Linked DNA regions of Caenorhabditis elegans. The protein of the gene in region 2 interacts with the protein of the main gene of each other region in a pairwise test. Each region holds a gene or a part of one and is shown on either strand. Other genes may lie near its edges.

What was found. The genes of interacting proteins can lie anywhere in the genome.
Region 1: the proteins of unc-73 (region 2) and sax-3 interact in a two-hybrid assay, tested with the Caenorhabditis elegans proteins (one study listed by BioGRID).
Region 3: the proteins of unc-73 (region 2) and vab-8 interact in a two-hybrid assay, tested with the Caenorhabditis elegans proteins (one study listed by BioGRID).

Annotation. Positions count from the first base shown.
Region 1 is NC_003284.9:3,461,361-3,469,317, forward strand, and holds the start of sax-3 (Protein sax-3), read right to left. Parts: upstream 4,568-7,957; 5' UTR 4,526-4,567; coding exon of another isoform or gene 4,496-4,525; 5' UTR 4,483-4,495; coding exon 4,410-4,482; intron 2,506-4,409; coding exon 2,150-2,505; intron 1,606-2,149; coding exon 1,345-1,605; intron 1,140-1,344; coding exon 976-1,139; intron 344-975; coding exon 1-343. UniProt on the Caenorhabditis elegans protein: Required to confine migrating sex myoblasts to the ventral muscle quadrants during their migration through the body and for multiple aspects of sensory, motor, and interneuron axon guidance.
Region 2 is NC_003279.8:4,026,758-4,034,663, forward strand, and holds the start of unc-73 (CRAL-TRIO domain-containing protein), read right to left. Parts: upstream 4,983-7,906; 5' UTR 4,871-4,982; coding exon 4,850-4,870; intron 2,472-4,849; coding exon 2,302-2,471; intron 2,127-2,301; coding exon 2,033-2,126; intron 1,647-2,032; coding exon 1,242-1,646; intron 1,115-1,241; coding exon 1,011-1,114; intron 443-1,010; coding exon 232-442; intron 185-231; coding exon 110-184; intron 44-109; coding exon 1-43.
Region 3 is NC_003283.11:12,209,829-12,217,893, reverse strand, and holds the start of vab-8 (Kinesin-like protein vab-8), read right to left. Parts: upstream 4,568-8,065; 5' UTR 4,559-4,567; coding exon 4,496-4,558; intron 4,411-4,495; coding exon 4,179-4,410; intron 4,036-4,178; coding exon 3,942-4,035; intron 3,897-3,941; coding exon 3,664-3,896; intron 3,621-3,663; coding exon 3,407-3,620; intron 3,091-3,406; exon of another isoform or gene 2,978-3,090; intron 2,917-2,977; exon of another isoform or gene 2,773-2,916; intron 2,180-2,772; coding exon 2,005-2,179; intron 1,358-2,004; coding exon 1,171-1,357; intron 1-1,170.

The DNA of each region.
Region 1 (7,957 bases), on a different chromosome or scaffold from region 2:
TGCCGAGTTCATTCCAGCGCACACATAAGCTCCCTCATCAACTTGACGAACTTCCTCAATTGTCAATGTTCCAGTTGGTGAAACTTTCGTTCTACCATCAGCGGACACATAACTTGGGAAAAGAAGATCCTGTTGGCCTTCCTTGCTCCAAAAATAGGCGGGACTCGGTTGACCGACCAAGGTGCATTCAAAAGTTGCCGTGCCTCCAGCTGGAACTGACTGGTCTGCTGGTTTTGTCTGGAAGGATGGAGGTGCCTGGACACGAAGATGTGCAGATGCTTCAAGAGTTCCCGCTGGATTTCGTGCATAGCAAACGTATTCACCTTCGTCTGATGGTTGAACTCTGAAAAACGTGGGTATGAGAAATTGTATTTAAGATTCGCATTTCTTTTCAGAAATTTGAAAAGCTCAAATTATTTCAATTTTCATTAAATTCTATAAAATAATGTTCCCTTTGATTTTTCAGTTTTTTCTCGATTCGCAATTTACATTGAAATTTCATTTTGAAACTTTTTATTATTTTAAATTGAAACGTGACCATTTTGTGATTTTAAACTTAGTATTGTTTTTTATTTTCTAGTTTTTACAATTGAAGTAGTAATGAAATATATATGCGTATAAATACTAAACACTTCAGTGCTGAAACATTAACAACTTTTTGGGGGGACGAAATCTATTGGTACCTAATCATTTTTTTTGTATAATGCGACTGTTTTCCAATAAGTACAATAAGTATAGGCTTTGTAAATTTTGTAAATCCAATACTTTCCCATTTAGATGCCTAAACTTTTCAATAAAAAGGCTCGCAAACAGGTGTCCAACAACTATCATTCATCAATGTATTTCAGATCATAAAAAATATAACCTAGATCTCCGAAAACGGTTATTAGATTATGTCTCTTCGGTGTCTCTTAAGAGATAACTAAATCCTTTGCAAGATGAGATAACACCTCGACTTTCTCCCACTTTTATTACCTTTCGATTCTCAACCCCCGATTATCCTTGGCAATGTATGCACGTGTAACTGGCATCGGCTCATTTTTGCGTTTCCACGTAATTTGTGGTTGAGGATCTCCAGTCACACGACAATCAAACAGCACTGCGGCTCCGACGTCGACCGTCATGTCCTTGGGTTCTTGCTGAAATCAACATCAAATGAATAGTAATACTAATCATCGAATTAGTAAGATTGAGAATAGAATACAGGAAGTTACAAAACCCCCTGTCGACATTTTTTTTGTTAATCTACCAGTCATTTAGCATTTTCATCGGAACAATGAAATTGAAACGACCTTGAGTTACAATTTAAATTAATTTTAAAAGGACTATCGCTTCCACACGTACCTCAAACTTTGGTTTCTCAAAGACACTCAATCTTGCGGGATTGGACACCCGTTCTCCGACCATGTTGTTGGCAACACACTGATAAGTACCAGAATCGCTTCGATCGACCGGATCAATGATGAGGTTTCCGTCAGAGTGTAGAGTGTATCGTGGCATGTCTTGAATTCGGAGCTCTTTGTCGTCTTTCCGCCAGCTCACAACCGGCTCCGGGAATCCACGTGGCGGACTGCATTCCAGAACGGCCATCTCTCCACCAAGAGCCTGAAAACAATTGAGTAACGCTTCTGTGAATAATTATTTTTTAATGGTCTAAAAATCGCGTTGACAAATTGTGCAGTGCGGTTTACAGTTTTTGAAAAACTGACGAATGAAGTTTTTTGTAACATTGATGGTCCAAATCTTCGGTTTTTCGGGGTTACCAAAAATTTTCAACTGACAAAATAGTGATAATTTTTTTTTTCTGTAGTTTAACACTAAAAAATGAGGTGACATATTTGAACTGACTCAGAATATGCCGTTTTATTCTCTATTTGTGCGGCACCCCAACTGTTTAACTGACAGCATATGTCTCGAATGCTTTTGAAGATATTAAGAAGTTCAAAAACAATAAATTTACAGAGAAATTTAACAAAACTGTGCTCAGTTAAAATTTTTACAAAAAATCCAATTTGACCGAGATACGAACTGTCAGGGTTGAGCCATGGAAATGCCGCAGTAATAGAGATTATAAGGTAAACTGTCAAAGTAGAAAAGTGCAGGATTAAGTGAAAAAATACGTAATATTATTCAAAGTATTAAACTTTACCTGAACTGTTCTTGGCCGAACTCGAAAGTCTTCGCGAAGCATCGCCAATTTTAACGATCCTTCGTTCGACTTCACTTCTCCGTGCTCGTTGCTGGCCACACAATAGTACGCTCCCGCATCGCTGTCTTTTCCGTTTTTTCCACTATTCACTTTCAGAAGAAACAGGGATCCCGTGTCGAGAACAATCCGGTGGCTGTTCACTTGCTCCTTATTCGTGATTACGGGCTGTCCATCCTTGTACCATGTGATTTTGGCGGTAGATGGCTTTGCACCACAGTTGAGGGTTGCTGGCGATCCCCTAGATACCACCACATCGATGGGATGTTCGATTATCACGGGAGCGAGATTTGAGGCATCTGAAATTATATTCAAGATTTGAAAAGGTTCAAAACAACATCATTCCCCTGTTAGAATTTTTTTTACTTTCCTCATCTCCCATTCATCTTATTTCCACATACATCAACACTTTGATTTTATCCATCTTGACAATGTGAATAAGAAAGGAAACTTGTCCAAGTGCATTAAATCAATCTGACCGATCCGGCACGCGCAATACTGTCACATCTGTATTATGGTGTCGAAACGAACACCTTCCCTCACCGATTTTTCAGTAGAGATGTGCGACACTATTGTCCTTGACGGACGGTAGGTAATAAAATGATTCACTAGGAATTTTATCAAAATTTATGTATGTGTGTGTGTGTGTGTGAGTGTGGTAAAAACCTAGATAGTACATTAACGGCTGGTTTATTGGGTGTCGGTGGTCTATTACATAAGATTGCCATTGACCTCCGACGGATTACCCATCTTCTCCCATCTGCTTCAAAAAATATCAAAAAGCCATTTTGAATCACTTGTTTATGGCATTCACCCTGACACTGCTGCGCACACACTTAATAAAAATTTCAGCAGGCCGACTTGTTTTCCTCCACTTCAAAATACGGACCACTGTTGTTTTCCACTAGTAAATTACCAGACCAAAGTGTGGCTAACAAGCTGCCGGATTCAACAATTTAATTAGCCTGGCTGTCCTTCTGTCTCTTCTGTCACCTCTTTAACCTTTCAACAATCTAGCGTGCCAGTGTCAAAATGTGCGCACGCGAGTAAACTATCCATGAACCAATGTATTGTACTCTGGCTACAATTTAATGGCCGTGTTAACCTTCAAAATATTATACTACGCTGCCTGCCCGCCTTTTCATCCATAGGCAAGACAAAACCAAAGAGCTGTGAAGATGTACACATATCTCATCCTGTCAACACCCAATTTCACAATTCGCCCGTCATTCTTTCGCAACACATTGGTGTTGAAAGCTTCTGCTAAAAAGCAGGCTGTCTTTCTAAAACATGAGATGCAACTGAATATTTTGGACAGCGCCAACAGCTCATTAATAACCTACTAGTCTCTGGGGAGGGATTTCAAATAGCTTCTCATCTTCTATCAACCGCATGCTAATGATTCTCAATTTTACGGATATTCGCATGCATCTTAAAACTGTGCTAAAATGTTTAAATGACCCAGGTTGGGGCAATTTATCACATTGAATAATGACTTGCACATTGCACAAATTACATTGTGGAAATGTGGAAATGTGGAACAAGACAAATATCGAGAGTCTGCGGGTGGTCGCTCCCAACTGTTTCTTATATTTTCGTTGCAAATTACACTGGCTCTGGTCGCTGTACAAAAAGACTTATTGTTTTAAGAGATTAGCATTTGAATGGTGAATACTTGAGAACACGCGCCTCAATGAGACTAACTCCTCTCATTCATTTTCTATACCATTTATTCTCCCCCCGTCCTATTCACTATTGTTTTCTCAACATTACCATCCAAAAGCGGGGCTTGGCTCGGCCAAGAGGGCAGATGGCAGTCCAAAACGATAATCGAATCTTTTTACACTATAGTCGGCAAACGAGCTCACAATCCAAGCAGCGAACCCGCTTTTGGTGTTTGACAAAATGAAGAGTCATGTCTAATAGCGCAAGAGTAGAAAAAGCAGCGAGTAAAGAGCATTTTTCCAAGATGGAGGGCATTCGTTTCCGCGCATTCAGTCAATCTTCGTTTTAATCGCTTTCTTCGACATGGGAAATACAACCCAACCTAATGGATTTTCCAAGTTTCCAAGTGAATTCAAAGAAAACCCACGAGTGGATCGAATAGCGTGTCTTGTTGGCGACGCGTTTTTTTCACCATGTAACTTGACACTTTTGGTACATTCTTAACTTAACATTTTTTTTCTAGAAAAAAAAAACCAACCTTCGCAGAAGCTTCGGATTACTGCTTGCAATACCAGGAGGATAGTGCATAACAGCGTTTTTCGATTGAACATGATCTTGTTTTATTCAATCTGTGTCCAATTTCAAAGGCTGCATCTAATTGTGGCGGTGTTCTGAATTTCCAGTTGGGAGACACCTGCAAGAAAAACACAAAAGTAATCAAAGTTATTGGCGGTTGTTTTAAGAGTGGGCGACAAAATGACGGAAAGAGAATGAGGGAATATAAAAGGAGAAACAAGACAAAATAGGTGATGGGAAAAAGATGGAAAAGGGCGAAAAAAGCGTGGCCCTGGGTGTAATCATTCATCTTTGCTAGGGTGACACTCGGGAGAATAGATTTAGAAGGAAAAAAGGAAAAGACACAACAAAGTAATTGAAAAGTTGACGAGCGTCGTCGTCGTCGTTTTCAAGACGCGAAGACGATTTGTGCGTCCGTTTTTGCGCATTTTCGGTGGTGGTGGTGGTGGAGCGATTCGGACGGAAGCCGACCCTAAATTGGACTAGAGAGCCACATTCTAGAATGAAGAACAAATTTAGTCTTCTACGCGACGGAAGATGTTGGACAAAAAAAAATAAAGAAAAAATGCACGGGAGGCAAAAGTAGCCAGCAGGAAGACAAGCAACAAAAAAAATGAGGACGCAAAGTTAGGAGGCAAACGTAGTGAGACTGGTTAAAGATGACGCGCAGAAGGACGGATGAAGGATGGATATAGAAGATGAAAGAAAATGAACAAGTCGATTTTGAAAGGATTTTCTTAAATGCGGCGAGGCGTAATCAAAATTTGGTGTAGTGAAAAGGCAACTTGAAAAAGGAAACCTACTCTGACAAAAAATATAAAAAATCTTTAGTACTAAGTTCGTGGCAGATTGGGAAGTGTGCAGGAGTTGTTTCAAACTGCACAAGACTCCCGAAAAGCTATGCAAAATTTTATTTTACGCAGGAGTTGTGCAAGATTGTAGTAAGAATCCGTTGAAGTTTCAATCTAAGTAGAACTTCATCAAGTCTATATAGGCGTTTTACTTTACTTGGGAAATTTGATTTTTGCCAGAGTATCAATAAAATAACTATAGCTACAATTTGAACATGGAAATTAAAAACTTCAAACACAGCAAAATGGCCAAAATTAGGAAAATACCTTGAAATTAAAAGAAAAACGGATTTTCAACATCACCAAATGGTTCAAAATTTTTATACATACAAAAAGCTTTCATTGTTTCTCTAACAACCAAAAAGAAACAAATCACAATTTAGTACAAATGCATTTGCAGAACATTTAAAATGAGGACCGTTGAGACGAATTGCTAGAAGGCGTAGACGCAGAATGTTAGACATCAGATTTCCTCTTCAAGGTGTGTGTGCAATGCGCGGGGAGATAAACGCGCAAAGAGGAGTGAGACAAGTATCGATTTATGTTGTGCCAGCGATTGAATAATACTGATTAGATAAACTATCTGGCAACAGGCGGGCGAATAAGAAAAATCAATACGCTTTATTCTAGACAAGAAAGTACTCGAGAACATATCAAAGCTCTCAACTCAATAAGGTCGTCAGAAAGCTCATAATTGTCAGATAAATAACCTAAATAATGCGCGTCAAGAGCACGGCGATGACGGATGTCCATGTCATGCAAGCGGCTCGATACGGAACGAAACCGCATGGAATATGAGGGGATAGCCGGGGCTATACGTCGCCCCCTTCCCTGGTTAAGTAATTATTCCAATTCGTGGCCGCCCTCCTCTCACATTCGACTACCCGTTCATTAGGTCCATTGTAGACCGAACCTATGCCCATGGACCAACGAGGCAAACGATTGGGGGACGGGAGGACGACGAAGAAGAAGGAAAACCCGGCCCTGTCATACAACATCTGTCGTGTTGTGTCTATACGTTGTCAATGAGCAATAGTTACACTTGTAGTGGAACCGATAAAATTCGCAAGAATAGGTGGGGAGATTCGAAGAGCCTGTGATTTTTGCGGGGAAGCAGACGGTGGGGAAATGTGGAAAGTAAAAAAGTGAGAACCAGTGACAGGAATTGACCATAATTTCGCAAAGGTGTCGGCGGGGCGAGAAGCTGGACAATAAACTTTATGGCACTTTACAAAGTGCGTTTGTTCGTTGAAATGAGAAGATCACCTCTTTTTCCGAAAAGCAAAAAGTTCAGAAGAAAGATGGCACAATAACCAAAAAGAAAAAAAAAAGAAGCAAAAAATGCAAAGAAAAGTGTGATGGGATGGGAAAGTCTACCAGGGAGAATAGAATTGTGGTCCGCCGCAATTCGTCATGGGGTCCACTGGACACCTGCTCGACCGGACGACGGGTCGATGGCGTGAAAAACGTGGATTGGAATGGGGGACGTCAAAGAGGGGCACGAAAGTGTGCGCCAAATGATTTTTTCCCCCTCCCATCTTTTCTCAATTCCGCGCTCCTTTGCCCCGCCAAGAAGTGGGTCGCCGGCGGAGCAAGTGGTCAGTGGCAGACGACGGTGAGCAAAAGTGGGTTATGCAAATATTCCTGCTCTCTCGGTGATATTGAATCTCTCTTTTTAAATCCAAAGAAACATGAGGTGCGTGAGAAATTATGATATGGAAGTTTTTAATACATGCACGTATATTTTTCGGCAATTTCAAACTTTCAGACAATTTTTGAGCACTTTTTCAATTGTTTCAAATAGAGAACAAGTTATTTTCAGATAAAAAATTAATTTTCCATTTTTTGTAACTAAATTTTTATTTAAAAAAAAACTACTTCGGGGAACATGCCAGACTGGCTCATTTTGTAGAATTGCCAGCCTGCATTTGCCGCGCACCTTTGGCACAAATGTTAAAGTAGCGCGGTAGGGAGATTGGTGAAAACTACTCCTATGGTGCTAAAATAACTAAATATCTTTGTAAAATATTTCAAAAATTTTCAAAGGTTTTTGCTGACTGTCAAAAAGTGGCAAATACTGAGTTTTTGCATTTTTTAAAATGAAAAATTAGCACTGTCGCGTTTTCAAATCCCCACAGAGTTTTAATATTAAAATTTGAATTTTTTTTTTGATTGACAACGTCCAAAAAAGTAACAAAAACTGAATACACACGTTTGTAAAAATGAAAAAATTCAACAAAAAAAAGTTTTAAAAAGTTCAACTGTGTATGATATTTAGTCATGCGCCACTTTTAAACGATTTTATACCTTTCTAGAAGATACTAAGAAAAATGCTTTAAAAAACAAGACAGAACATTTTATTCACTAATACACTACATCTTGCGTATCAAAATGAACCAGAAAACAGAAACACACATGTTTTCCGATGGCTTTTTTTTCTCGACTTTTCGTGTTTTTCAGGGCAATTGCACATTTTATTATTTTTGCGACTTCACGACAGCCATCCGTGAAAGCAGATGAAAAGCTGACTGACTCCGAAAGATGATATGCATAATGAATCTGTTTTCCAGAATAAGGCGGCGAAGATGATGAAAGCGGAAACCCGACAAGGATGCAGGAGAGGAGAAGGGTGCGGGTGAGCTCTCTCAATAAATGAATA
Region 2 (7,906 bases):
CTAGGTGCCATTCTTCGGCAAGTCGTGCCGCCACGTGATCGGTCTGAAAATTAGATTTGCAATTTTCCAAAAAACTATTTTTTTTAAGTGTTTTGGAATATAATCTTACAATCTGATTCCGGGCTCCAATAGTTCTCAAATGATTTTCCTTGTCGAAAACTTGTTTCACAGACACTTCCATACCCTGTTTTAAAAAAACCAGAAATTGTCTATACATCACTTAAAACATACTCTCACAGCAATCTGGAACTGCTCAAACTCCGCAGAGAGCCGAACGACATCGTTTGCACAACCACCAACATCACCCATACTACGTTCACAGGCTTTTTTGTACGGCCGAAGCGTCTCAATCATATGTTCTGCGTCACGTTCAAATTGTTTCTGCTGGTACACTTTTGAAAGTTCCATCTGTCGAACTTCCCAATTCTTGGCTACTTCGCCTCTGAAAAATTAGGGGTTTGTCAAATTGGCTGAATTAATATTTGGAAAAAAAGAAACTGAATTCATAGCCCGTGTGTGACTAGATAATTCGGCATATGTCAATTTTCGAGAATACGAAAACTAAAAATATACTAAATATAACTGTAAAAAAATTATAGATTTTTTAAAATAAATTTTTAATGATTATTTTTTAAGTTTGCAAAAAAAATTAGAAAGGGCCAAATTATTTTTGAATTCTCGCGCAGATAAATTACCTATTTTTAAAATTTTTGATTTTTCATGTTGATTGGCTTTTCTTCAAATTTTTTTGAAATCTTGAAAAAATCATAAAAATTTTCGAAAAATTATGTAATTTTTACTCCATCTTCAATGATTAATACTGAAAGTAGTTATTCAAAAATCAGGAAAATCATATTTGGGGTACTGTAGGTGGCAGTTTTCCAATGGCGACAAAATATACATTTTTGATTGCTTTTTTTCAGCTAAAATTTTTTTTTTTCAAGATTTATTTTTAATATTAGTTTTAATTTTGTTTTAACTTTTAAATTTTACACAGAAAAAAAACTTACTTGAGCAACCTGAGCGAATCGGTCAAATTTGAAATATATGGGGTTGTCGCTTCAAGGTCCGGGTTTTTGACACCCTTCGACGGTTTTAATATTCGAGTTGCAATCTGCAAAGTTAACATGACTAAAAGAAAATTAAGGAATTTTCACCTGCGGTCAGGTATTAAACATTCATAGAATTTTTAAATTATTTTCAAATTTTTGAATATAATTAAAAAGAAAACAAAAACTCACTTTATTCCCTTCTGTCTCAATTCCTTCCACCGGAACATTAAATATACTATTCTTTGCGTGTTGGCTCTTTTTCAGCGCAGCGTTGGCAGTTGTCACATCGACAGGCTGCTCGCCTTCGCAAATTTCTCGACGTACAGACTCGAGCTTTTCCATAATTTCAGTGATATTCCAGATCCATTTCTCGAGATCCAACCTGAGCTCAAGCCATTCATCATGATCATATGGATAGCTTCCGCCGACGGTTTTCGGTAAATGTGACGAGTCGATTATTTTGATAAGCGATTCGAATGAGATCATTTCAACTTCAAAATCCCACGTTCCAAGGGACATTTGTGCTTTTTGTTTCTCCCAGAATTTTTCGGGCTTGATGATGAACACTTGTACTGTTGATGAGCTTTCAATACTCTGAAAATTAACATTTGATATAGTTGGAAAGTTGTTTTAAAAATTGTGCTCCTAGTGTTAAACTTTCCAAAAATCAGGAAAAATTTTCAAACAAATTTACAGTAAAAAAGCTATGAAAATTCAATTTTCACATACAATATTTTTGGAAGTCGACAGAAAAAAAATTTCTATGGTTGAAAAAAATTATATTTGTGTTCCAAAATATTTTTAAAATTTGGCAACGTACACAAACCGTGACTAAAAATTTTGAAAATTTTGAATAATTTTAGAGGGTTTTAGTCTAAGTTTTTAAAGGATATTCCGCTATTTTTGGCTGTTATAAGTGTATATAGTTTTTTGTTGTTTTTGTAGGAATCCATATTTTTTAAACGAAAAAAAAACCATACACTGAGAGCTTTCAGAATGTGTCGAACATTGGTCCATGTTTGTTTTCCACGCATATCAATTACCACAAGGAATCCCTTTTCGCGTGCCATCTTCCTGCAAATTCAATTTTTTGTTTGGTTTTTTTGAAATTTGTGTTTTGTGGGCTTAGGCTAGGCTTATTGTTAAGTAATTGAATTGAAAAATGGAAATAAATTTTTTGAAATATCTTTTTATAAATTTTGTTTTTTCACAGTGTGGTTGTTCCATTTCAGTCAAATAAAAAACTTACGAAGTAACTTCAAATAAATACAGAAAGACATTGCGTAAATTATCCTGATTGACAGGTTGCTCTCGTGATGGACATACGATAACTGCTTGTCCGGCTCTACATCGTCCTCCAGGAAGTACTGCAATGCCGTCACGAAGAACATGCAGAATGTCTTCTGCTTTCATCGTCATCTGGAATTTTTTCGAATTGTTTAAAATCAAAAGTTTTCATAGAGTTTTTGAGATTATTTTTGAAAGTTCAAAATGTCCGGGAACATGAAACCAAAATCTTAGAAAACCAAAAAAAGCTCGCAGTGGCTCCAAAAAATATCAGTGTTTGTCGTAAAAGAAGGACCATTCGAAATTCAATTCACCACCAGAGGAAACGGGTGAGATAGAGGGAGAGAGCGTTGAGACGCAGGCAACACAACACCGAAGAGTGGAATAGGGGGGGAGTCGAGTGGAACGAAAAGGGGCTGGTCACATTGCACTGCAGTTTATCACCAAGTTCAATCTGCTAATCGACTTTTTCGTGTATTGGGACGGACGGACGGAATGGTTAGTGCGCTGTTCGCGGCCCCCGGCAATGGAAAATGACTGTTGATTTGGAGGAAAAGCAGAGAGTCAGAGATAACAGTTCTGCGATCACTAACTCGATTTTTAGGGCTAGCTTCTTGTCTAATTTTGGACCAAAAATTGGGCAAAACTTATACTTGGTTAGGGTGCGCCCAACTTTTCTTGTGTGGTTTTAAACTTGGGTTAGAGTTTGTCAAAAGTTGGATCAAGTTTGGGCTGGATTTGGGCGCAGTCTAAATCAATCTAAGCTTTGCCAACTTCTGGGCAAGAAGCGGGCACCAAATTTTGAAATTTTCGAATTCTAAATGGTGAAGTCGCAGGGGGCGAATTTTCGCTGAACTTGCACTAAAACTTGGAATAAAAAAGAAAATGTCAAACGGAAATCTAGGTTTTATAAAATTTTTTTATTTTTTGTATTTTTTCATTTTTGTATGGCCAATACTGAAAGAAAAATTTGAAATCATTCACTGTACATTACTTTTTTTAAATTTTATGAAACTGTAAAATAGAGATAACAAACTAGAATCATTGATTTTAAATTAAAATAATCAGTACAATGTACTCAAAAACTACCTATAAAAGTTTGGCTCTTTTTGTTTATTTTGTGAAAAAATTGGGCAGAAAAATTTGTATTTGAAAGAAAAAAGACTGAGAGAACTTTTTGTAAAAGCTCAACCAGAGTATTTTGAAGTTGACTAGTTTACTTGCAAGGCAAACCAACACGAAAAAAAACGAAAAAGGAAGAAAGAAAACCCGGCACACAAGAGATTTTCTTTCATTTTTTCTTTCTTTTTCCTCCAATTTTTTGCACTACAACAATTCTCAATGTCTTCCCCGATTGCCATAAACTGCCGTCATTACACACACACACTATTCGGATTTTTTTGTTGGTATTCGTTCTCTCTCACATTTTCCTCGCTTCTCGAGGTCATAATCCTGTCTCGAACAACAACATACTAGTAGTAAGATTGGTGCTAATCGAGAAGGCACTCTTTGAGAGTACCATCTGTTTCAAGGATTGAGGGAAGAGCTTGATAAGCTCCCACTATTTCGTTTCTTTTCTCACACAACTTTACACAACCGGTCACTATTATCGTGCTATCTGCGTCTCTCCATCTCATGATCTATCCGGAAATAATGGGTGAGAAGAAGCAGGAGCACCGGGAGAGCACCGAATTTCGGAATGAGTGACACAAAACAATTGACTCATAACATATTTCAAAAACGTGATGAACTCATTTTACACTTTTCAACAATTGTCTGGGAAGGTTTGTAATCGTAATACATCAATTATTATGATTTATTTTTCTTTAGTTTGGACCTAATCAAGATTTATAGTCGTGAAAAAGAGTAGAGATCTCGGAAATTTTTTTTTTCAATTTTGGCAAAACTTTAAAGTTATATTAAATTTTTTAGTTGCTGTTTTGGTGTTAATTTTTTCTACTACTCATAGGCGAAATTTAACGATTTTTGTATCAAAATACGGTACCCGGTCTTGACACGATAAAATTTTATTTGAAGAATACTGTAATCTCTAGCATTTGGTTTTTGCGGAATTTTCATCAATTTTCATTGTTATTTATAAAAAAATTTTTCATCGGAACAATTTTACAACAAAAAAACTGTTAAACACATAAATTTAAACAAATATAGAGAAAAAAATCAATAATCAACTAAACTACAGTAATCTTTAAAGGCTCATCAAAAATTTGTAGTATCGAGACCGAATACCGTATTTTTATTGCAAATATCGCAAAACTTTGCGTCTGGGCAATATTAACAAAACAAAATTAAATTATTTGAAATTTAAAAATTTGATGAAAAAGACATTTCTCGGAACATTCGAAAAACAAAAACGTATTCTTTTCTCTATCAAATCGTACAGTTTGCACTCGTTTTCCGCATTAATCGCTTCAATGGATTACGGCGCCGGCATCTCTGCCTCTTTTTTCACAAGTTGCCGCTGCCGCCACCATGAAACTGAAAAAACTCACTTTTCCATCATAATCGCCCATAACTGATGGAGGAATTTTATGCGAATTTGACGACTCTTCTTGAATTCAAAATAATCATGTGCTTCTGAATGTCTGTGTGTGTATTGTGACGATCAGATGAGAACCCGTTTATCTGAAAAAATGACAGTTTTCAAAGAATTTTAAATTTCTTTCAAAAAAAGAGATTTGAGAAAATAAAATAGAGTGCGTATTGAAAAGAGAGAAAAAGTTGATTTTCGATTTAAATTTTCTGATGAAATATTGCTCGAAAATCATGGAAAATCACACTAAATAAGATTTTAAAAATCAAAGAAAAAATCGAGACAAAATTATTAATTATTATGGAAAAAACAAAATTTTCCAGAACATTTAAAAATAAGTGCATTACAATTTTAGAAGCTTTTCATATAGCTTAACATCTTCTTGGAACAAGTTTGGTATACAAAATATTTCAAACAATCCGGAAAAAAATGGCTTAAATCGGAAATTGGCAACATGTGGCTTGAGCTAATTTAATTCTATTTGACCCTAGTCTAAACAATCTCTTGCCAAATTTTGGTCAAAATGGTCTTGCCAATTTTTAAAACTAAATTTTAAAGTTTGTTTTAAAATGACTGACTCATTGATATTTTTGAAGAAATTCTATACTCAAGCAGCTAAAAATAGGATGGAAAAGGTCGAAACATTGCGAAACGTTATTAGATCTTCTCACTAGAATACGTACTTTTTCAGGAAGTATGCATTATTCAAATGTCTTCACTGCATAAAATAAAATAAGCAAATAAAGATGTGATGAATCTAGTCTCAATTATTAGTTGCACAACGCATTACAAATCGTTGGGTGTGAAAATGCGAAAATCGTGGAAAAGGAAGAAGAAAAGGAAGAGCTACCAAAACGAACTATTTCTCTCAAGAGGGCCCAACCATTGGGGTGGGCACCGCTCCGGGAATAGCGTACGAAAGCGGGAGACAAGCGAATTGTTATGGGAGGCTAACGGCCGTTGTAGCAGACCGCTGGTCATATGAGACAGTGCTAGTGTCCTGTAGAGACGCAGACGTAAAAAGAGAACGCAAGGGTCACTGCGCGCGCAGACGGATGTTGATGGACCGGACAGACCGCCGGGGACACAACAGGCAAAATAAGAAAGAAGACATGAAGAAGACGACGACGTGAGATGGCGGTAATGGTGGCAGGTGCAAACGATGCAGGCGACAGATGACAAGAAGTATGTTAGCAACACTTCAAATATAGATAATTCTGTTTAAATCCTTTCTTCTCCAAAATTGAATTTTTCAATTGAACTCAATAGATGCTGTTGTGAGCTCTAGAAGTTGTTGAGATGTCTTTATAATCTAATCTCTCAAATTCTTTGAAACTACTTGTATCTGAACTAGAGCATTTTAGTTCAACAGGCAAAACAGATCAAAATTTAATGCAAAAATATATAACAAATAATTTATTAATCAGAAAATAATTTTCATTTAAGTTTGAAAATGTGAAAATATGATTAAAAATTGCATGAAAGTTGCCAATTGCTGGAAAAAAGTGTCAATAATTTGTCTGATTTATTCCAGCAATTTTCACCTTTCAGACAACTTTTAAGGATTTTTTTTCAACTAAAAAATTATTTTCAGATCAATCAATCCTATATTTTGACACTAAATTTTAATGAAAAATATCAGACCAACATGCCACATCAGGCCATTTTGTAGAATTGTCGAAAAAATTTAACGTACACCTCTGATCTGAACAATCAGTTTTTAGTGTCGGTGGAACACCGTAAAACAAAATCCTAGGAAATTTTAAATGAACTAAATTGAACTAAATGACCAAAAATTGAACTAAATGACCGCTATCGCCCTAATATCAAAAATAATATCAATTCCACTCAATCCTACAGTAACAAGTCAACATCAGAGATATTCTCGAGACACATGGTGAAGATTGGATTTCCCAGAGGATTATACCACCACATGTCTCTTCAGCCAAACAGTATACGATGACCGTTCAAGCGGAAATCATAAAACAAAAGGGATCGACACTTGACAGTTACTATCATTGGAATATTATTACCCCCGTTCAGTGAAGTTGTCACGTGGTGCATTGTGGTACTAATTTTTAAAGGTAGTAACCGACAATTTTTTGATGTTTTTTGATATTAAAAATGACGCAAAGATAACGAGTTTCATAACTACATAGATTTTTCAATAATGCTTACAAATGTTTTATGGCGGCTCAAAGTTAAGGATATTATTAGTGAGAGAAAATTTATGTAGAAACAATGTGCAAAAGGAAAACCAAGAAATCGTGATAATTTAACAAAAAGCTCAAAAATGGTCAGAGTCTATTTTCAGATCATCCTGACTTTCTTATGAAAAAAGGATGCGACAGTAAAAATTTGAATTCAAAACGGCGGCATCAATCGTTGCAACAAGGCAAAAACAGTCAAAATATAAGATTTACATCGATTGGTATTCAGAGCGGTCCCGTGGTCACCTCTTCAATTGTTTTACTGTGACTAGGATTGTATTCGCGCGCTATCGCTAACTTCCCAGAAGGCGTGCCTCCTGGGTAGTTAGCGACCCCATGAGGGTCACATAGTTGCCACTGTTTTTAATTCCAATTTCAGATGTCTAACCGTACCTTAAACATTGTTTTTTAAAAAAACTATTTGAAAACTGCTTTTTTATTCATTCTTTTTTCCTTCACTTCACTGCTTTTTGTAATTGTATCATTATGATTGTTGCTTGATGAATAAATATAAATAAATAAAACTGCTAATCAGAAAAAAAAATCTGAAAATATGGATATCACGACTATTTGAAAATGATAGTCGTTATGGGAAGAACATGTTAATCAAAAAAATGTCAAAAACCATATCGGTGTCTGAAATTTTAACAACAAAAATTTCTGAGCTCCCACAACAATCGACTTTCACGAAAGATAATTTCCATCAGAACTATTTTTACAAATTATCTCATAGCATATACAGGGTGGCAACTAATTATGGAACCTGCATTAATTGCCATACAACACTTTTGAGAAAAAATAATGCA
Region 3 (8,065 bases), on a different chromosome or scaffold from region 2:
CACTGTACATATATTGATTGAGTTGTGGATATTTCAGTTAGTATATATTGTATTTCCTATAATAGTCTTGCATATCATCAATGTTGGCAGCTTATACTATCTTTGGATTTATCAAAAGTTTGTTAACTGACAAAATATGTTGAAAAAATTTTATGCTCGTAGTTTTTTCTAGCTTACATCATTACTACTATGGCTGAGTATTATGACCGACCGCAATTTAAAACAAAATGACTACAGGGTTTGTAAATAAAATGACTACAGGGTTTGTAAAAAAATGACTACAGGGTTTGTAAAAAAGCGTACCACCACTTAAATTATTCAAAAAACTGTCCAAATAACCTCAAAACCTTAATTAAAATGTTTCTTCTAAAGAAAAACGGAAACAATGTCGAATGAAATGAAAGAGGGTAACAAAAATATGTGACAACCGGGTGTCTTCTTGCTCCACGCCAAGAGCTTCTCACCGAGAAACAAGAAGAACTGAGAAATGAGAAATGATTGATCATGGTTTCCTCGTGTCACTTTTTTTTTATTTTTCAGTGGCCCTTGGTTAAACCTATGAGAAACTACTTACAAATCTAAAATACTTGATTAACCAGTAATTAAACAAATGCCAAAGAAACCGAACAATTAGCACCATGTCGGTGTAAATATTTAAGTTAGAAGGTAGGATTTTCGCACTTAATCAAAAACATGTGACCTTATTTTCAGAAATTCCAAAACAATCGAAAATATATCTGAAATAATGAATACATTAAATCGGTCTTCTGCTTGCTTGTGATATACTTTCAATTTTGGTTATTTCGTAAAAATACTTAAATTATCAAACATCTATTATCAGAAATGGGTTATATAGACATCAATATATATGAAAAATCTTAAACGCGGGGGTATAGTGCTTAAAAAATCGTTTAACAAAAACATTTTAATTAATTTTAATGTACAAGTGTTAAGAAAAATCCCAAATGTGAAACTGGCCGCGAAATTTTCAAAAATCTTGAAAAAAGAAAACTATATTCCTTGAAGTGGTGGCTTCCGTAAACTAACGATGATAATGATGGGAGAAGATATCGATGCGAACGAGCGTAAAAAAAATGCGGGCGGCTCGTAAATCAGATCTCAGTCGATTAATCTTCTTTACCCACATCCCGAAGATTTTTTCAAACTCACTTGTTGTGGAAGCTGGTGATGCTGTTCTTGAGGAATTCGGACCCAAGAATATCACAGTTTCAGCTGCACTTAGCTCTGATCCGGATTCTAATTCAAATCTTCGTTGTGTTCTAGGAGTGCCTCCCGGTGTGATTGTAGTTGTTCCACATGATGAAGAATTTGATTCCATTGTTCCAGTTGACATTGTCTGAAATTAGAATTTCAATTTTTTTAAATAAAAAAAAATATCTGAATGTTAAAAATGAAGAAAAAATGCGGAAGAAGTGCCGGTTGTTTTTTCTTTGTAAATATACAATATACAAGAATTCATACAAAGAGGATCAAATTTCGATTATGGTATTATGTTTGCGGCAGCGATATTAATATTTAGGTTATGCTAGAGGTGGACCGGATTTTACCGTAAAGTGAGACCGAGGAAAAAGGTCAAAGAATGATAAAAAGTAGCCTACAAAATCGTAGTTTTCTATTAAAAAAATATCTTTGCACAGTACTTCCCCAAATTCAACCAGATCAAATACTGAGCGCTAGGAATTTTTTGAGAGTGCCGTGAGAGAAAATAAAATGTAGGAATATTGTAAGAATATTTAACTAGTAGTAGGAATATTTTCTTCAAAATACGAAAGAATACAATGTTCCAAAAACTTGTATACTTTTGAAATTTGCAGTGAAATTTTCGGTAAGTTGGCAAACAGTTGTCAAATGTCAAGCTTTTGGATAAATTCTCAGAATTGTTGTATTTTTGAAATATTGCCATTCTTAAATTTAAAATAGTTTTCAAAAACCTTTATTATGCGAGCAGTAATAAATTATCTGAACTGATGTTTTCAAACTCACCCCTGATGACTTCCTTCCATGTCCAACCATACTCTTTGCTCGAGTCCTTGCGATTTTACAAGCCAAATGTGCAATGTTCTCGTTATCGTCACTCTTGGCACCAAATGAAAAAACGAACGTCGTGAATCTTGACGTACTCAATGCACATCGGATGAGTTGACACACTGACGAGTCCCTGTAAAAAAGGAAAAATTTCATTTTAACATCTTCTACTTTGACACATTCTAACACTTGTCAAACTTTCAATTCCCTAAGAACCACTGCTCTATTTCTGCAGAAGCGGCAGCAATTTGTTATTTATTCTCTCGGTACGAAGAATTCAAAAAGAAGGAAAAGGAGGATAGTCAAAAGAAAAATAAAATTCATTTCGTTCCCAAGGGAGCATGCCCAAGCAACTTTTGAAGGCGGTGACCGGAAACGCAAGATTCACCGACAAAAGCATATGGATTGATTAATTGGTCATTTCTTATGCAAAAAGTTGGACAAATTTTGAATATTTAAACTTTTCGAGTTGAAATATTACAACTACTTGCAATAAAACAATTGAGATGTTTTTTTTTTTCATTGTCCACCTTCCTGTTCTCATTACTCTTACAATCCCCCGATTTTTATATTCATCATTCCCCTTCCCCTGCTTTCTCTTTTTTTCATTGAAAATGTCATCACTTCACCGCCTCTTCCTGTCTCTACCAAAAACATCAGGAGGTACCATCTCTCAACAGTGAAATAAAAAAAGACACCAATTCATCTAATCCCTCGTGTGGCTCGTGGGCGGCTCTTCTCTTTGATGTGTCCTGAAGGATCCATGTTGGAAGAGCGCGGCGCCCCTCTCCTACACACCTCCTACTTCTTCCGCGCGCGCAAATAACGATCCATCGACAACTGGTTCAATAAAAAGTGGTAATAAATAAATGGGTGACTAGACAATCTTCTCTTAATCTTTCCGCCGGTAAATGAAGGTTGATTGAGATGAAGTAGAGGGCATAATGAACAAAATTGGGGGAGGACCGCAGAATATGTGTGAAACTCTGATGGATCTTCCTTATACTAGAAGCTAGTAAAAATTGACTACTTGAGTGCCTACAAGGCAGACGTGACGCCAAATTAGAACGCTCCATTTAAATATGGGGATGAAACAGTGACTGGTGATTAACTTCTAGGATTTTTAAATCAATTGTTTCTCACATTGCTCTAAACTTTTCTCGAAAAATTAAAATTCACCAAAACTGTGTTTTTTGGTAATAAATAATAAAAGTGAGTAGATTGTAACAAAATTCTCACGAGTCCTCCTACTTTAATTGAATATTCAGGGTTTTATGAACGCTGTATTTCCAGATTTCTCCAGGTACACTTTTGATTTGCAGACCAATTTTTTAAAAAAATATTTCTTCAAAATACTCACCTTGATGGAATATGTTTATTTCTTTGAACCATTGCCAAAAGAATACTCCCTAATGCTGGCATTGTCATTCCTCCATTTGTTGAATTTCTCTCACCAATTCCCATATCCAAGAAACAAAGTCGACGACGTCCTCCTTGCATTTTGTCACCCATTTTATACGAATACAAGCTTAGTGATATGAACACGTGGCTTGTTCGATGGGTATGCTCGTCTTCTGAAACTTGTGTATAAGACATTTAGATCATGTTTCAACTCACGAATCATTCGATGATCCACTGCAGTATTCAAATAAAATAATGCCTGATCAATGGTCTCGACACGAATTTCACTCTCATTATCGATAAATACTCCTGTTCGAGCATCATCCACTATTTTAACCACTCGGTGACGTGGATCTGGATTGAATGGACTTAACAAATCGACTATTGAAGATTCATTTTGTGACACCATAATTGCAGACATTCGAACTTGTATTCGTTCTTCCGAATCTCTGGAAATAGGAAATTTAATGGAAATATAGAACATTGAAACCTACTTGTTATCATCAAGGGCATTCATTAATTGAGTGATGGCCATTTGAACCAACCCGTTTCTTGAAACGCTGTTCCCGTAGAGACGTTCGTCTTTTCCTGAACATTTCTAGTATTCGATGAGTTTCAAAAACATTCTTAATGTAATCGTAAATAGTATCTCCATTAGAAATGGAGGAAAAATTGAAAATTGTATAAGTTCTTCAAATTTGAAAACGTTACTCTCCAAAATAATTACTCACCATTAGTTTTAGCTCCCATTGCTAAAACTGTTGCATCATTTCCAGCGAATACTGAATTTATTGTATCCGATAGAAATGCCGTATACATATCATCCTGTGTAGCATCTGTTCTAAAGATATGATCAAATGTCGTTTTCGAATAGTTCTTTCCTTCGATTTGCAAGTGTTGATCAGTGAGACTGCACCGACCATGTGCAACATCTTCACTGCTTATACTGGCACATAGTCGAAGCTGAAAAATGTGTTAATCTCAATCTGTGAATACTAGAAATGTTTGCCAAAAAATTAGCAAACAAATAATTCAACAAAAAGCTTACTTTCGGAATCGTTCGCAACGGCGAATGAAGAAGCAGCGAGGTCTTACTGCTGCATGCCTCCATTCATAAGGTCTGAAAATATTCATTCTAATCCGCAATTCGGGAAGGAACGGGCAACGGAAATCAAAGAAAAAACCAAAGAAAAAGCAAAAAGAATGTCGCGGGAAAAATTTGCGAGGGAGGAAAGGGTCAGTCCTGATAAAAGACGGACAAACCGTTATCATCAAAGTGTGTATGTGTGTGCCCATATAAGCGTGTCTGCATAAATAATCAAAAGAGGTAGATGAGTCTTTTCATGTTACCGACGAACACCTATTGAGTAAAATGAGGTGGAATGTGGGAAAACGGAAAGTGTTGCTGGCACGGAGCCAACTTTTTGAAAATTGTGAAACAGACCACAACTGATTACACAAAAAATTATGATAAAGCTCTATAAATCTTCTCTTTTCTGCTTAAACTGTAGTACAACGCTCCAAATAATTACTCAATAAGATGAGATATACAAGTGAAAGAAAAATTGAAAGAAGTAGTAAATTTACTCTTTCGCGAAGAATTTTCAGCTCGTTGAAATGTTACTTCGTATGTGCAATTGACATTCTTTAAAACCACCGGAAACCAAAAAAAACATAAAAATTCTACGAAACAGTCTGACAATAGAGTAAATGATATCATCAGTTTTCCACCAAAAAGTACCAAAAAGGGAACATTTGAAAAGAAGACCATTTCCCGCCAAAAAGTGAGTCAACACTGCATCGGAAAATGGAGAACTCTCTGACGCCCTGGCGATGGGGATGAACGATACGTACAAACCCATTCATTGTGGGAACTTTTTTTTTTGAATTAAAGCAAATGGGTAGAGTGAATATTATAAGGTCTTGCCTTTTGGATATTTAAATATAGTTTTGGTTTTATGTCCCTGGACGGGGTCAAGTTCCAAAAGTCATTAAAGTACCACGTGAACAAACCGCCTGGTATTTATAAAAGAATTATTGTCGATCTGTGAATTGCACATTTCCCAATTCAAAAGTCTAGACAGTTTAGGTAAACATTTTTGGTATCGAAAAACAGAAATGTATAACATGAAAAATTCTATCAAAAACTGTCAACTAAAAAAGACTAAAACTAATAATCATAATTTTTTTTTCAAAAATATCAGTAATTTTCTGAAAAGAAAGCAAATCGAAATTGAAAGTGAGAAGAAAGAATAGTGGTAATTTGACCTCCCCTAGGAATGAATTGAGTTGAGAAGAAAAGTAGTGAAAAGATTTTTGAGACGAGTGATGGGCGTGAAACAGGGGAAAGAATAGAAAAATAGTGCAACACATTTTTTTGAAACAAAATTTAATAAAAGAGTAAAACACAGAAACTACAGTTGGATGTATCAGGTGAGGAACGGGTATCATAGAAAAATAGTGATTACTGTAAGTATACTCCAGGAGATACTAATTTTTAGATTATTCATTGCGAAAATTGATATTTTCAAACAAATAAACAACTATGAAATTTTATCTATCATGTCAGGCAAAAAAACCGTTAAAACAAATGACCAGAAACTAGGAAAACAAGAGCTCTTATAGATGAAAAAATCATTTTGCATTATTTCTCGTGGTTCGGGAAACTAAACAGGTATACATTTTTTAAAAATTAAATCTAATGGAAACATAAGAAAATACAAAATTCAGTCATCTGGAGAATCCAAAGGAAGTGATCACATCTGTTGAGCACATTTCCTTCTTTTTTCAAACATCCGGTCACTGGTAGAATCTTTGAAACTTTTTGGAGTTTTAAGGTCAAAGTTTGAGATTATAACTTACAAGACTGTAGGTACAAGCCACATATCAAGAGTGACACAACAAAAACAACAACAACACTAAAAATAAGAAAACCGAAAAAAGTGGGCGGAGTCTCCGTTCATCTTTACGCAACACATGAAAGAAAAGAAAATAGAAAAGATGAGTAAAATGTATAGAAAGAGTTGGTTTCCTTTTCTTCTTTCTATCCACATCTTCTTTAGAAGGGTGGAGTCTTGAAGAAAGAGAGATAGACACATATGTCTTTTGGCCCAATTCCAATGGTCCCTTAATGCAATAGAGTGAGAAACGGGACGTGGGACGTGTCCACGGGACAACTGAGAGGACAACTATGGCGCAATCAGCTGCCCCGGGAAAGGAGGAATTGTACAAATGTTTGAGTAAAGAACGAGTGGACACAAAATGGGTGGGAGGAGGAAGAAGGAGGGCGAAGACTTGATTAGGGAAATGAGCAAAAAGGATTGGAAGGTCCAAATACTATAGTGCTTCCTAATTGTAAAGGGTAACTCTATGAGCAATTATGTTCCTCTAAAAATATAGGTTATAGAAATACAAAACACCTGCGGAAACAAAATTATAGATTCAGACAATTGTCGTATTGCTCTAAAACATTCAAAATGTACGGTCATAATGAGGCATCTAAAAAATTCATGAGGTTCAACAATTTTGAAGGAAAACTAAAACTTCTGTTCAATTACTACACTTCATTCAAATTTTGATAATTTTTTACTTTAGGTTTTTTTTCCAAAAATTTGAATTTAAAAAAAAAGATTCCATTATGAAAGTTGCCCTTTTAGAGCAATTTCGAAAGTTTTCGCAATACCAGTTTCAAAACGGTCTAAAACATCGCAGAGTGCTCTAATAATAGAGAGTGAACATCGAAGTAATATTTGAAAACATCTAATCTCTTGTTCGGACTTCCTCTTCGGTTTGAATGTAGTAATTTGACACTGAGCCATCTAATCCTGCATCCTCCCGTGGCCACCCTCCTCTCGTCGTCAAAAATCACTATATTTCATGACATATGTGCCAATTGACTGTCACGCAGTCTACGAGAAGAGTTCGAGAAATCGAGAGACATAGAAATTAAGAGGGCGCATTAATGTGCCAAGTAATTTCGAGATTCTGAGCAGCATAAGGATCCAGCAGTTAAGATTCTTATCAAATGATTCGATTGTAGTCAGAAAATTTTTATGGGTAGTAACAAATTAGATAACGAATTAGACAATTAGAGCTTGCAAATCTTGGATCTAAAAATGATGAATTTTATGTCAATTCAGAGAAGAAAAGGCGAATAGTCTATAATCAAACAGAAACAATAATGTTAGTTTTGGGTTTCAATGCATGATTGTGGCTAATAAGGAAAAGATGGAAACCACCATGATGATGATGATCCATGTGGTGGTTAATCACATTTCTCAATAGTGAACTCTAAATTTGGAACTCAAGAATTCAAAACGAACCAACGCAGTGAGGCAACAAAATTGAGTTATAGTGTGAGGAGCTCGTCCATTGGAATGATTCCCTTTTGGTAATATACTAAATTTGAAACTTTTCAGGGTTTATGCATTGCCGCTCTAGAAAAATATTTGCAATGCTTTCTAAAACTTTTGAGCAATAGAAAACTGAGTATTAATAAACAATTCAGAACTCAAAAATGTCAGGATATAAAGCCAATAGTAATTTGACGGATAACTTGCGAACAAAAACTTTGAAAAACTGGCCAGTTCTCTATTTTCCATTTTCCTGTTAATTAGTA